Linked DNA regions of Saccharomyces cerevisiae S288C. The gene in region 1 interacts genetically with each later gene. Each region holds a gene or a part of one and is shown in the gene's direction. Other genes may lie near its edges.

Evidence for each region.
Region 2: mutations in APM1 (region 1) and VIP1 together harm fitness more than expected from each alone (negative genetic interaction), as found in Saccharomyces cerevisiae (2 studies listed by BioGRID).
Region 3: mutations in APM1 (region 1) and THR4 together harm fitness more than expected from each alone (negative genetic interaction), as found in Saccharomyces cerevisiae (4 studies listed by BioGRID).

Annotation. Positions count from the first base shown.
Region 1 is NC_001148.4:50,020-54,611, reverse strand, and holds APM1 (Apm1p), read left to right. Parts: upstream 1-1,940; coding exon 1,941-3,368; downstream 3,369-4,592. Other genes in the region: THI21 (bifunctional hydroxymethylpyrimidine kinase/phosphomethylpyrimidine kinase), read left to right, coding at 1-1,114; CUB1 (Cub1p), read right to left, coding at 3,654-4,592. UniProt on the Saccharomyces cerevisiae protein: Component of the adaptor complexes which link clathrin to receptors in coated vesicles. Clathrin-associated protein complexes are believed to interact with the cytoplasmic tails of membrane proteins, leading to their selection and concentration.
Region 2 is NC_001144.5:935,385-941,682, forward strand, and holds VIP1 (inositol polyphosphate kinase VIP1), read left to right. Parts: upstream 1-2,156; coding exon 2,157-5,597; downstream 5,598-6,298. Other genes in the region: rRNA-processing protein UTP21, read right to left, coding at 1-1,849; YLR410W-A (gag protein), read left to right, coding at 6,099-6,298. UniProt on the Saccharomyces cerevisiae protein: Bifunctional inositol kinase that acts in concert with the IP6K kinases to synthesize the diphosphate group-containing inositol pyrophosphates diphosphoinositol pentakisphosphate, PP-InsP5, and bis-diphosphoinositol tetrakisphosphate, (PP)2-InsP4.
Region 3 is NC_001135.5:214,640-218,942, forward strand, and holds THR4 (threonine synthase THR4), read left to right. Parts: upstream 1-2,057; coding exon 2,058-3,602; downstream 3,603-4,303. Other genes in the region: YCR051W (uncharacterized protein), read left to right, coding at 1-100; RSC6 (Rsc6p), read left to right, coding at 355-1,806; CTR86 (Ctr86p), read right to left, coding at 3,737-4,303. UniProt on the Saccharomyces cerevisiae protein: Catalyzes the gamma-elimination of phosphate from L-phosphohomoserine and the beta-addition of water to produce L-threonine.

The DNA of each region.
Region 1 (4,592 bases):
CGAAGTCGCAAAAGACCTTGCCAAAATCACCAAGTGTTCCAATATTTTGGTTAAAGGTGGTCACATTCCATGGAATGATGAAGAAGGAAAGTACATCACTGATGTCCTTTACTTAGGGGCCGAACAAAGGTTTATAACCTTCAAGGGTAATTTTGTTAATACAACCCACACTCATGGTACCGGGTGCACCCTAGCTTCCGCCATTGCATCAAATTTGGCTCGCGGTTATTCCCTTCCCCAATCCGTTTATGGCGGTATTGAGTACGTCCAAAATGCGGTGGCCATTGGCTGCGATGTCACGAAAGAGACTGTTAAGGACAACGGGCCAATTAATCATGTCTACGCCATCGAAATTCCATTAGAAAAAATGCTCAGTGACGAATGTTTCACTGCATCAGATGCCGTACACAAAAAGCCAGTCAAAAGTTCTCTTAACAAAATCCCTGGAGGAAGTTTCTATAAATATCTGATAAATCACCCTAAAGTTAAGCCCCACTGGGACTCCTATGTGAACCATGATTTTGTTAGAAAAGTAGCAGACGGTTCCTTAGAGCCTAAGAAGTTCCAATTTTTTATCGAACAAGATTACCTGTACTTAGTCAATTATGCCAGGATTTCCTGCATCGCGGGTAGTAAATCCCCGTGTCTTGAAGACCTGGAGAAAGAGCTAGTTATTGTCGAATGCGTTCGTAATGGGCTTTGCCAACATGAAAGGAGATTAAGGGAGGAATTTGGAATTAAGGATCCCGACTACTTACAAAAGATTCAAAGAGGTCCTGCATTAAGGGCTTACTGTCGTTACTTTAATGATGTTTCCAGAAGAGGTAACTGGCAGGAGTTAGTTATAGCTCTTAATCCTTGCTTAATGGGCTATGTTCACGCTTTGACCAAGATCAAGGATGAAGTAACTGCAGCAGAAGGCTCCGTTTACCGTGAATGGTGTGAAACTTACTCATCGTCATGGTGCCACGAAGCTATGCTTGAAGGCGAAAAGCTGTTGAATCACATCTTGGAAACATACCCTCCAGAAAAACTTGATACACTGGTCACAATATATGCTGAAGTTTGTGAATTGGAAGCTAACTTCTGGACCGCCGCTCTAGAATATGAATGAATAGACACATCGATTTTTACAAAATATACAAAAAGTTATACGTAGAAATAATGAATTATGCAAAAATAGGTGTCAATAATTTAAGAATGTTCCTTCATTTTTATTAATATAGTAAAAATTGTTCGGCAGAAACCAAAATCTTCGTTCTGATTTTGGCGTTCTAGCGGCGCTACCATCCTAGTCACATACCTCAAGTATTCACCATAATTTCGTTGATAACTTATCCGGCAGAAACTTTCTCATCTTTCAGAAACCTAACACTGCAGTTGGACATTCTCGTAACATTAGCTGACAGAACTACGACAGACAGTTGCGACATAAAAAAAAAAGAATCACAACTGAACGCATCTTAGGGAAACAGTTAATGTTGGCACTGATGATTATTTGAATAGTGCGTCTTTATATATATATATTTTCTTCAAGGTATTCCTCCATCTGAAAATAATTGAGCATTCGACCCAATATAAACGTTTTCTATGCGCTAAAATTACTGCATACTATCAATAGGACTGCTATGGATCTATAATAGTTATGTAATAAAGATGAAGATATTTCAATGGTATAAAATACGCTCGATATACTATAGCCATCATTAGACGTAACTTCAACTAAGCGAGAAAGGGTATCTCTAATTATGATAATAGTCTTTGAAAGTCGTTGATAGCGATGTTAATTGAACGTATTGAAATATTGCTAGACGATGAAAAATTAAGAGTTAAACGGAAAGTGGGCTGAACAAAAAAAAGCATATAGAGAAACTAAGTCGTACAATTAAATATAGGAGTATTTTTGAAAATTGTAAATTACGAACTTGGAGGGACACAGAATGGCTTCTGCAGTGTATTTTTGCGATCATAATGGGAAACCACTCCTATCAAGAAGGTATAGAGATGATATTCCGCTTTCTGCAATTGACAAATTCCCTATATTACTCTCGGATTTAGAGGAACAATCAAATCTGATTCCTCCATGTTTGAACCACAATGGTCTGGAATATCTATTTATACAGCATAACGATCTATACGTGGTGGCAATTGTGACTTCTCTTAGTGCCAATGCGGCTGCCATTTTTACTTTTTTGCACAAATTAGTGGAGGTATTAAGTGACTACTTAAAAACCGTTGAAGAAGAATCTATTAGAGATAATTTTGTTATAATATATGAATTACTGGACGAAGTGATGGATTATGGTATACCACAGATCACAGAAACTAAGATGCTGAAACAGTACATAACACAAAAATCCTTCAAACTAGTTAAATCCGCCAAGAAGAAGAGGAATGCTACTAGACCACCCGTCGCACTAACAAATTCAGTCAGTTGGAGGCCAGAAGGCATCACTCACAAGAAAAATGAAGCCTTTCTGGATATCGTCGAATCTATTAATATGCTCATGACTCAAAAAGGTCAAGTTTTGAGATCAGAAATTATCGGCGATGTTAAGGTTAACTCAAAATTGTCTGGTATGCCTGATCTGAAATTAGGTATTAATGATAAAGGCATTTTCTCCAAATATTTGGATGATGATACAAATATCCCATCAGCGAGCGCGACAACATCCGATAATAACACAGAAACTGATAAAAAACCATCAATAACATCATCATCGGCCACAAACAAGAAGAAAGTTAATATTGAATTGGAAGATTTGAAATTTCATCAATGTGTCCGATTAAGCAAATTCGAGAATGAAAAAATTATAACGTTTATACCTCCTGATGGAAAGTTCGATTTAATGAACTACAGACTATCTACTACGATAAAACCGTTAATTTGGTGTGATGTAAACGTTCAAGTTCATTCGAATTCTAGAATTGAAATTCACTGTAAGGCCAAGGCCCAAATTAAAAGAAAATCTACTGCAACTAATGTAGAGATATTGATACCGGTCCCGGACGACGCGGATACACCGACTTTTAAATATTCACACGGGTCTCTAAAGTATGTCCCTGAAAAAAGTGCAATCTTATGGAAAATAAGAAGTTTTCCCGGTGGTAAAGAGTACTCAATGTCTGCCGAATTGGGACTGCCTTCAATATCAAATAACGAGGATGGCAATAGAACAATGCCAAAAAGTAACGCGGAAATCTTGAAGGGACCTGTCCAAATCAAATTTCAAATACCCTACTTTACTACTTCAGGTATTCAAGTACGTTATCTTAAAATTAACGAACCCAAATTGCAGTATAAGAGTTACCCATGGGTAAGATATATCACGCAAAGTGGTGATGATTATACAATAAGGCTGACGTAATGTCTGAAAAATATATAAAAAAAGCAATTTCTACGGTGCATGGACAAAGACACAGGGTACGTATGTCCTTATTCCTCTTTTTCTCCCCCCTCCCATTGACAATTATGATAATGACATAAAGTTGTTTATATATTTTTGTTTTTATATAGATGCTCATTCAGGGTTTGTTATATACATAGACATAAGAGAATAACTTTTTTTCTTTCTGTATTTCATTTTATTGTTTATAATGTTTTCCTCTACCAAGAAAATAGGGAGAAATGGAAGATAAAGAAACACTCTCCTCTATTCCTGTTGATATTCAGATTCAGGCTCGCTGTCGTTTGAGTTCGAGTCTATGCCTGATTCTCCGTTGTCATCGTCGTCAGAACCATCACTTGAAGTAGAGTTCTGTGCTTTTTCCTCGGCTTCCACTTTTAATTCATGCAAGATATCAAAACATTCTGCTAATAAAGCATTCAATATACCTTGGCCTTCAGGTATATTGCCATCAGAGTCATAGAATATACCTTCAGTTCTCAGGTTGTCCAATGAAGCCAATTTCATTTGATAAGGGTATAACTCTCTTTCATTATTCACACCTCCCATTCTTTTCAATTCTAATAGGCAACGACGAACTGTAGATAGTTGATTGTGAATTGGCTGCAACGCTTCAGATACGGGCTCTGAACTTTCCAACAGTTTATAAATTATGGCATAACATCTACGCAACAGGTATAAAAGTATTGATTGCCCCTTTGAGTCCTGAGATTTTGTTGGAAACTTACCATTGATTCTTTTGTTATCAATTTCGTTCAATTTTTTTTGGTAAGAAAATAAATCGGTTTCTCTCAAAGTCCATCTTCTTGTGATCATTAAATTTTCTAAGGTAGTCTTTATATCAATCAGCTGTTCATATATTGGCTGTAAATATGGATCTAAAGTCAACCCGCCATTTTTTTGGTGTGATAAATCGTTAACTAAATCATGGCAATCATCCAATAAACCATTAAGGACACTTTGGCCTTTTTCTGCCACCTGATGAGACTCCAAGGACTTGAATTTACCAGAATCGTCACGATTAGATTCTAATTCACTTAATTCGTTCTTCAAAACTGATAATTTCTCATGGACATACTCTTGAGATACTAAATGTTTGTCATCCGTTAAGCTTTCATTGTTCGTTTGCAAATCATTTTGTTCCTGCAATAAAGAGTTGGTATTAATATCAGATTTAGACATTGT
Region 2 (6,298 bases), on another chromosome or scaffold:
CGGTTGGAAGATCCCACGTTCTAATGGTGGAATCTAGAGAAGCGGAAACAATCCAACGGCCCTCAGGTGAGAAATCAAATGCAGTTATTCTATTACTATGACCCCATAATTGACGAACAACTCTTTGAGTAACTGCGTCAATAACAACAATTGATAAGTCGTCTAAAGCCAATGCAAATAGATCGGAAGAACGATGATAAACCATTGCGGTAATAGGTGCATCCAATTTCAATTTTCCCAACAAGGTTGACTTGTTAAAGTCATAAAAACCAACAATACCGTCTAGTCCACAAGAAACCATTTTACGATTCATACCATCTAAGGATATACCGGTGACTGCTCTTTTGTGCAATTTGTATTTTTTACGGAGTATACCACTTTGCATATTATAGATGGTGATAGAGCCGTTAGAAGAACCGATGAATCCAAAATTACCACATTGCGACATGGCCACAGATTTAACAAATCCATCATCAGTAGTATCAAAAGTCCACCTGCCAACTCTTTTATTTCGCATATCCCAGGTTCTTGCAAACTTTTCATCTTTATGTGCAGTGATAATGTTTTCCCATTCACCTATTCTGGCATTTTCAATTGCAAGAGCCACTATTTCAGGAAATTTAGACTTAATTGTACTACCACCTACCCTGCCGCCATCTTGTTTCTTGTGTAACCTTTGTGACATTTCTTGCGACTGTGCATCTTTACGCAGAGAAAAGCTCCATAATGATCTATCTTTGGATGCTGATAGCATGAAGTGTGATTGCGAATCAGCAAACGCAATGTATGAAGGTGGTTGAGAATGACCCCCTCTGGAACGTAGATATCTTGGCGGTTGAACAACTACATCACCGCTTCCTTGAGATAATGACGGATCGAAAACGTACTCCTTCAGGGAATTGTCACCACCTGATGTAACAATAATGGGTTGACCATTTAAAAAAGTAGCCTGAGTGACACCACCGTACGATTCTCTATGAATGTTCTTCAAAACGTGTATTCTTGAACGGCGATCTAAATCATAAAATATTAGATCACCACTGCTCGTTCCCACACTCAAATGAGAAGAACCGTCGGTTCTGAAACTCAATGAGGAGATTCTTGATTGCGGAATCTTAATTGTGCGGATCCTTTTACCTTTTCTCATATTAAACATAATAACCTCACCGGTCACGGTACCTAGAGCAATAATATCCAGGACTGGAGCGGGTTCAGCAGTTGTGATTTGGTCTGGAAATTCGTTTGATGTGAATACAAGCTTCCCGGTTCTGACGTTAAAAAGTAAAACGTTAGATTTGGTAACGACAGTTAATTTATTCAAATAAGTTGCCAAATGTTGTAAAGACACAATTTCGCCACCTTGAATTTCAGTAACGGTAAGTTTAGTGTAGAATTCTGATGGATATTTATCTTGCGGATCGGACTTCTTGTATATAAAGATGGAATTGTCGTCGGTGGAAGCGCAAAGATAATCTCCGAATATGCACAAATGTTCGACATTTGCATCAGTTTCTAGCTCAAGCAAATGTTCCTCAATACCCCTCTTGTAAATACCAACCTTGTTTTCATATGCTGCGTAGACGTAGTGAAAGTGTGCTGATAATGCTACAATTGAGGATGGTGTTTCTTTCTCGGAAACAAAAAGTAAATGTAAGGTATTCGCATCATATATCTGAAATGTTTTACCAACACACGTTACAATGTAAAAGGTAGATCCCAATGTACCAGTAGCAAAAGGAACACCATTGCTAACATTACCAATAATCCGGAAAGGGGAAAATATCTTAGAATTTTTCCCTCTACTTCTTACGTCTTCTTCGACTTTTCTTTTTTTCAAGTCGATAGACATAATGTACTATTCCTAACTCGCTATAGCCTTTTCAGTGTCTTATTCCTTGCTGCTGTTTCGCTGTATATTTATTGTGCTTAGGACTTATTAAATTTCATTAGCAATCTCATCGCGAAATTTTTCTCAAAATTTTTCAGTTAAAAAAAAAAAAGCACGTGCTCAAAAATGTTTTTAGAAAATCATTTATTTAAGATAGGAAAAATGCAATTAATCATTGAATCAATATGTTCACCACTTAAATTACCCACTGAGCATTTCATACAAATTCAAAAGCATCTCGTAGCATATTAATATATTGCAGAAGGTCATGAGTGGGATAAAGAAGGAACCGATTGAATCTGATGAGGTTCCTCAACAAGAGACAAAAAATAACTTACCTAGTGCACCTTCTGAGATGTCACCCCTTTTCCTAAACAAAAACACACAGAAGGCTATGCAATCTATTGCACCAATATTGGAGGGTTTCAGTCCTAAGACGTCAGCTAGCGAAAATATGTCTTTGAAATTGCCACCTCCCGGTATTCAAGATGATCACAGTGAAGAGAATCTCACCGTGCATGATACTCTGCAAAGAACCATAAGCACTGCACTAGGAAACGGAAACAACACCAATACAGTTACAACTTCCGGTTTAAAAAAGGCAGACAGTGAATCAAAGTCAGAAGCTGATCCTGAGGGGCTCAGCAATTCTAACATAGTCAATGATGCAGATAACATAAATTCCATCTCCAAGACCGGATCGCCCCATTTACCTCAAGGAACAATGGACGCTGAGCAGACTAACATGGGAACTAACTCTGTACCTACTTCATCAGCTTCTTCACGCAAATCCTCGACTAGTCATCCCAAACCTAGGCTACCCAAGGTAGGGAAGATTGGGGTATGTGCAATGGATGCAAAAGTCCTTTCAAAGCCAATGAGACACATTTTGAATCGTTTAATTGAACATGGTGAATTTGAAACTGTCATTTTTGGAGATAAGGTGATTCTAGATGAAAGAATAGAGAATTGGCCAACTTGCGACTTTTTGATATCTTTCTTTTCTTCAGGATTTCCCCTAGATAAAGCAATTAAATACGTCAAGTTACGCAAGCCTTTCATTATCAATGATTTAATAATGCAAAAGATTTTGTGGGACAGGAGATTATGTCTACAAGTATTAGAAGCCTACAACGTTCCAACACCTCCTAGACTGGAAATCAGTAGAGATGGTGGTCCCCGTGCCAACGAAGAATTAAGGGCAAAATTACGTGAGCATGGCGTAGAAGTTAAACCCGTTGAAGAACCGGAATGGAAAATGGTTGATGATGATACTTTAGAAGTTGATGGGAAAACCATGACTAAGCCCTTTGTTGAAAAGCCCGTTGATGGTGAAGACCACAACATTTATATATACTATCATTCTAAGAACGGAGGAGGCGGTCGTCGTCTATTCCGTAAAGTTGGTAACAAGTCTTCTGAGTTTGATCCTACTTTGGTTCATCCTCGTACGGAGGGGTCTTACATTTATGAGCAGTTTATGGATACCGATAATTTCGAAGATGTGAAGGCTTATACGATTGGTGAGAACTTTTGTCACGCTGAAACTAGGAAATCACCTGTGGTTGATGGTATAGTTAGAAGAAATACTCATGGTAAAGAAGTTAGATATATTACTGAGTTATCAGACGAAGAGAAAACCATTGCTGGGAAAGTTTCCAAAGCTTTTTCACAAATGATCTGTGGTTTCGATTTGCTTCGCGTTTCTGGTAAAAGTTACGTCATTGATGTTAACGGATTTTCTTTTGTAAAGGATAACAAAGCTTACTATGATTCATGCGCCAATATATTGAGAAGTACCTTCATTGAAGCCAAAAAGAAGATGGATATGGAAAAGAAGAATCTGCCCATTATTCGTGAAGAAAAGGAACAAAAGTGGGTATTCAAAGGACTGGCTATCATTATCCGTCACGCGGACAGAACACCAAAACAGAAATTCAAACATTCATTCACTTCGCCTATTTTTATATCGTTACTAAAAGGTCACAAAGAAGAAGTTGTCATTCGGAATGTAAATGATTTAAAGATTGTTCTTCAGGCCTTAAGAATTGCGTTAGATGAAAAAGCAGGAAATCCAGCTAAAATTAAAGTGTTAGCAAACGCTCTAGAAAAGAAACTGAATTTTCCCGGTACGAAAATACAATTGAAACCGGTTTTAAATAAAGAGAACGAAGTGGAAAAAGTTCAGTTTATTTTGAAATGGGGTGGTGAACCCACTCATTCTGCCAAATATCAGGCTACGGAACTCGGAGAGCAAATGAGACAAGATTTTGACCTATTGAATAAGAGCATTCTACAAAACATCAAGATATTTTCATCGTCTGAGAGACGTGTTCTTCATACGGCGCAGTACTGGACCAGAGCTCTTTTTGGGGCCGATGAATTAGGTAGCGATGAAATCAGTATTAGAAAGGATCTTTTAGATGACAGTAATGCCGCCAAAGATTTAATGGATAAGGTGAAAAAGAAGTTGAAGCCACTTTTAAGAGAGGGTAAGGAAGCTCCCCCACAATTTGCCTGGCCTTCAAAGATGCCGGAGCCATATTTAGTCATAAAGCGAGTGGTTGAATTGATGAATTACCATAAAAAAATTATGGATAACAACTTTGCTAAAAAGGATGTCAACTCGATGCAAACAAGATGGTGTACTTCTGAAGATCCTAGTTTGTTTAAGGAAAGGTGGGATAAACTTTTCAAAGAATTCAATAATGCTGAAAAAGTCGATCCTTCTAAAATTTCTGAATTGTATGATACTATGAAGTATGATGCTCTTCACAACAGGCAGTTCCTAGAGAACATATTTGACCCGGGTCTTCCAAATGAAGCTATCGCCGATGAACTCGGCAGTCATTCTTTAGTTGACCGATACCCAATTAACGTTCTCGCCAAAAATAATTTTAAGATAATAGACAGTCATAGCATGAACAATTCTGGAAAGAACAGTAGTAATAGTGTTGGGTCGTTAGGATGGGTTCTGGAAAGCGGAAAAACATCTACAGCAAGAAACCCCAAATCTTCTTCTCAATTCGATGAGCCACGCTTTATGCAGTTGCGGGAGCTGTATAAGCTGGCCAAAGTATTGTTTGATTTTATCTGCCCCAAAGAATATGGTATTTCAGATGCAGAGAAACTGGATATCGGTTTGTTAACTTCGTTGCCTTTGGCAAAGCAAATACTAAATGATATAGGAGACATGAAAAATAGAGAAACTCCAGCTTGTGTTGCGTACTTCACCAAAGAGTCCCATATTTACACTCTATTGAATATCATATACGAATCTGGTATTCCAATGAGAATCGCTAGAAATGCTTTACCAGAACTAGACTACTTGTCGCAGATCACTTTTGAACTTTATGAGAGTACGGATGCTTCTGGTCAAAAATCGCATTCCATTAGACTAAAAATGTCTCCTGGGTGTCATACTCAAGATCCGTTAGATGTTCAATTAGATGACAGGCATTATATTAGTTGTATTCCAAAGATTTCCCTGACGAAGCATTTGGATATGGACTATGTTCAACAGAAATTGAGAAACAAATTTACCAGGGTCATTATGCCTCCGAAATTTACACCAGTAAACATTACGAGCCCCAACTTGAGTTTCCAGAAACGCAAAACCAGAAGAAAGTCGGTATCTGTTGAGAAGTTGAAACGTCCTGCCTCGTCCGGATCTTCATCATCTACCTCCGTTAACAAGACATTAGATTAGTGATCACACCCAATTTTTAATTTAGTAACCCAAAACTAAATAAGTATTTACTCAACTTTTTTTTAAAAAAAAAAAACTTAATTGAATTTTGCTCGCGATCTTTAGGTCCGGAGTTTTCGTTGAACCCTTAGACGAGCAAATTAGCGCCATAAGGATATGCGTCAGAGCACATTAATTAGTGACATATACCTATATAAAGAGCAACCTTCTTGTTGGAATAAAAATCAACTATCATCTACTAACTAGTATTTACGTTACTAGTATATTATCATATACGGTGTTAGAAGATGACGCAAATGATGAGAAATAGTCATCTAAATTAGTGGAAGCTGAAACGCAAGGATTGATAATGTAATAGGATCAATGAATATTAACATATAAAATGATGATAATAATATTTATAGAATTGTGTAGAATTGCAGATTCCCTTTTATGGATTCCTAAATCCTCGAGGAGAACTTCTAGTATATCTACATACCTAATATTATTGCCTTATTAAAAATGGAATCCCAACAATTACATCAAAATCCACATTCTCTTCATGGTAGCGCCTATGCTTCGGTTACTTCTAAGGAAGTCCCATCAAATCAAGATCCGTTAGCCGTTTCAGCTTCCAATTTACCGGAATTTGATAGAGATTCCACTAAGGTTAATTCTCAACAAGAGACAACACCTGGGACATCAGCTGTTCCAGAGAACCA
Region 3 (4,303 bases), on another chromosome or scaffold:
GTTGGAAAGGTACATCCGTGCTATGGTCAGAGAGCAGATGCTGGGCCAGGGCTCCATGGCGGGTTCCGGGGACGAACCAGATTCCAAGAGAAGAAAATAACGACCCAGCACAAAGGCTCTTACAGCTTGCTAAAAGAAATTGAACGCGACGCTACATGAACTACTTCTTTCTCTTACATAGTCTTTTCCCTTATGTATCTTTTCTGTACATTAATAGACGTTCTTACAAGGTAAAATTTCACCGCGTTTTTAAATAGAATGAAAAAAACGTTGTAGAGTGAAAGAAAAGCAACAAATATACAGTTCACAAGGCAGCTTCGTATAGTAATACAGCACGAAAAACAGCTCATAGAAATGGTAACACAGACCAATCCGGTCCCTGTTACATATCCAACGGATGCTTATATCCCCACGTATCTGCCCGATGATAAGGTCTCCAATCTGGCAGATTTGAAAAAATTGATAGAAATGGATTCCAGACTAGATTTGTATCTGACAAGAAGGAGGCTGGATACGTCCATCAATTTACCTACAAACACCAAGACCAAGGACCATCCCCCCAATAAAGAGATGCTGAGGATTTACGTCTACAACACTACGGAAAGCAGCCCTCGCAGCGATTCTGGCACCCCAGCGGACTCAGGCAAGACTACATGGACACTGAGAATAGAAGGTAAGCTTCTGCACGAGTCCGCAAACGGAAAGCACCCATTTAGTGAGTTTTTGGAAGGTGTCGCGGTCGACTTTAAAAGACTGAAACCGCTGGGCATGGGCAAGAAGAGGAAACGCGATTCGTCATTGAGCCTTCCTTTGAATCTGCAACAACCCGAATACAATGATCAAGATAGCACCATGGGCGATAACGACAACGGCGAGGATGAGGACAGTGCAGAGGCAGAATCCAGGGAGGAAATTGTAGACGCACTGGAATGGAACTACGATGAAAACAACGTTGTGGAGTTTGATGGTATCGACATCAAGAGGCAAGGCAAGGATAATTTGCGATGCAGTATAACCATCCAGTTGAGGGGTGTCGACGGTGGAAAAGTACAGTACTCGCCCAACTTAGCTACCTTGATAGGTATGCAAACGGGCTCCGTTAATGACGCGGTTTATTCGATCTACAAGTACATTTTGATCAACAATCTGTTTGTTACGGAACAAACAGAGGCTCAAGATGGTTCCAACGATGCCGAAGACAGCAGTAACGAGAATAACAATAAAAACGGTGCTGGTGACGATGATGGCGTCGAGGGAAGTACTCCAAAGGATAAGCCCGAATTGGGTGAAGTGAAGCTAGATTCACTCTTACAAAAGGTATTGGATACAAACGCCGCGCACCTCCCCTTGATGAATGTTGTGCAAACCGTGAACAAACTGGTATCACCCCTACCGCCCATCATCCTAGATTATACAATTGATCTTTCCAAAGATACCACCTATGGTGCTACCACCTTGGATGTAGATGTGTCGCACATTCTCCACCAGCCTCAACCCCAGCCAAATTTACAAAAAGAGGAAGAAACAGATGCTGAAGACACAGCAAAACTACGTGAAATCACAAAGCTTGCCTTGCAGTTGAACTCTAGTGCTCAAAAATACCAGTTTTTCCACGAACTGTCTTTGCATCCAAGAGAAACGCTGACTCACTACTTATGGTCTTCCAAGCAAAACGAGCTTGTGCTGCAGGGCGACCAATACTTCAATGAAGATGCTGCAAGAACGAGTGACATATACAGTAACAACAACAATGACAGGTCACTAATGGGCAATATCTCACTACTGTACTCCCAAGGAAGACTATAACATCACTGTATGATCTCATTCTTTCTGCAATTATTGCACGCCTCCTCGTGAGTAGTGACCGTGCGAACAAAAGAGTCATTACAACGAGGAAATAGAAGAAAATGAAAAATTTTCGACAAAATGTATAGTCATTTCTATCAATAACGTATACACGTTTTTTTAATACTATCTATATTGTGTATCTTATATTTTTCCATTTGGTAGTATAGCAGCAAATATTTGTTCTTAGACGGCCACCATCCCTCACACCAATGCCTAACGCTTCCCAAGTTTACAGATCTACCAGATCCAGCTCTCCAAAGACAATCTCTTTTGAAGAGGCTATCATTCAAGGTCTGGCCACTGACGGTGGTCTTTTCATTCCACCAACTATTCCACAAGTGGACCAAGCCACTCTTTTCAATGATTGGTCAAAGCTCTCCTTCCAAGACTTAGCCTTTGCTATCATGAGACTATACATTGCCCAAGAAGAGATTCCAGATGCTGATCTAAAGGACTTGATCAAGAGATCTTATTCTACTTTCCGTTCTGATGAAGTCACCCCCTTGGTGCAAAACGTCACTGGTGACAAGGAGAATTTGCACATTTTAGAATTATTCCACGGTCCTACCTACGCTTTCAAAGACGTTGCTTTACAATTTGTCGGTAATCTTTTTGAATACTTCTTACAAAGAACCAACGCCAATTTACCTGAAGGCGAGAAAAAGCAAATCACTGTGGTCGGTGCTACTTCCGGTGACACTGGTTCTGCAGCCATCTACGGTTTAAGAGGCAAAAAGGACGTTTCCGTTTTCATCTTATATCCAACCGGTAGAATTTCCCCAATTCAAGAAGAACAAATGACCACCGTTCCAGATGAAAACGTCCAGACTTTGTCTGTTACCGGTACTTTCGACAACTGTCAAGATATCGTCAAAGCTATTTTCGGTGACAAAGAATTCAACTCTAAACACAACGTCGGTGCTGTTAACTCCATCAACTGGGCAAGAATCTTGGCCCAAATGACCTATTACTTTTATTCATTCTTCCAAGCCACCAACGGTAAGGACTCCAAGAAGGTCAAGTTCGTTGTGCCAAGTGGGAACTTCGGTGATATATTGGCCGGTTATTTTGCCAAGAAAATGGGTTTGCCTATTGAAAAACTGGCCATCGCTACCAATGAAAACGACATTTTGGACAGATTTTTGAAATCTGGTCTATACGAAAGATCAGACAAGGTTGCTGCTACTTTATCCCCAGCAATGGATATCTTAATCTCTTCTAACTTTGAAAGACTACTATGGTACCTAGCTCGTGAATACCTAGCTAATGGTGATGATTTGAAAGCCGGTGAAATCGTCAACAATTGGTTCCAGGAATTGAAGACCAACGGTAAGTTCCAAGTTGACAAATCCATCATTGAAGGCGCATCAAAGGACTTTACATCAGAAAGAGTTTCCAATGAAGAAACATCTGAAACAATCAAGAAGATCTACGAATCATCTGTAAATCCAAAACATTACATCTTAGATCCTCACACAGCTGTCGGTGTTTGCGCCACAGAAAGATTGATTGCAAAAGATAATGACAAGTCCATCCAATACATTTCTCTATCTACCGCTCACCCAGCTAAATTTGCCGATGCTGTAAACAATGCATTGTCTGGATTTTCCAATTATTCATTTGAAAAGGATGTTTTGCCTGAGGAATTGAAGAAACTATCCACATTAAAGAAGAAATTAAAATTCATCGAAAGAGCTGACGTTGAATTGGTCAAAAACGCTATTGAAGAAGAACTTGCTAAAATGAAATTATAAGATCTTCCTTTTTAATGAATATATTTTATCTTATATAACATATAGAATTCTATAATTAATAGAGAGTATGAAGTACGATTATCCTTAATGTTAATCAAAGTGAATCATGATTGCGAGAGTAAGGAACCATAAAATTAATCTTCATCTATGCTAATAATCTCAGAATTCTCGTTCCCAGGGTCTTCTTCTTTAGATACTAATCTAACTTTCCCGCCCTTTTCAACTGATATTTCAAACCCAGCTTTGCTCAATGCATCGTCTTGAACAACGTCTTGAGCTTCCATTTTTTTGACATATTCCTGATTCTTGGCATTATTCTTTAACAAAAACTTCAAGCAAACAATAGATCTTTCCTTGATAAACGGATCATTATCATCGATGACACAATTGGAAAGAATTAATGCAAGACCACCTAATTCTCTTATTTGATCTTGGATTTCAGGATGTGCATACACTAACGATGCCAATATTTCGATTATTACTAATTTACAATGGGGAAAATTATCAGCCCTAATAAAGGATTCGTTGGTATTAACACGGTTGAAAATTAATAACCGGTCCTCGATTTTGTTACCTTCATGATCTGTGATTTTAATTTCATTCACCGTATCACCGTTTCCTTTCAAAAAATTAATCCTCAACAAATTCTTTTGGAAAGTATCCAAGAGAGATACCAATATTTTCACAGAGTCATACGAAAT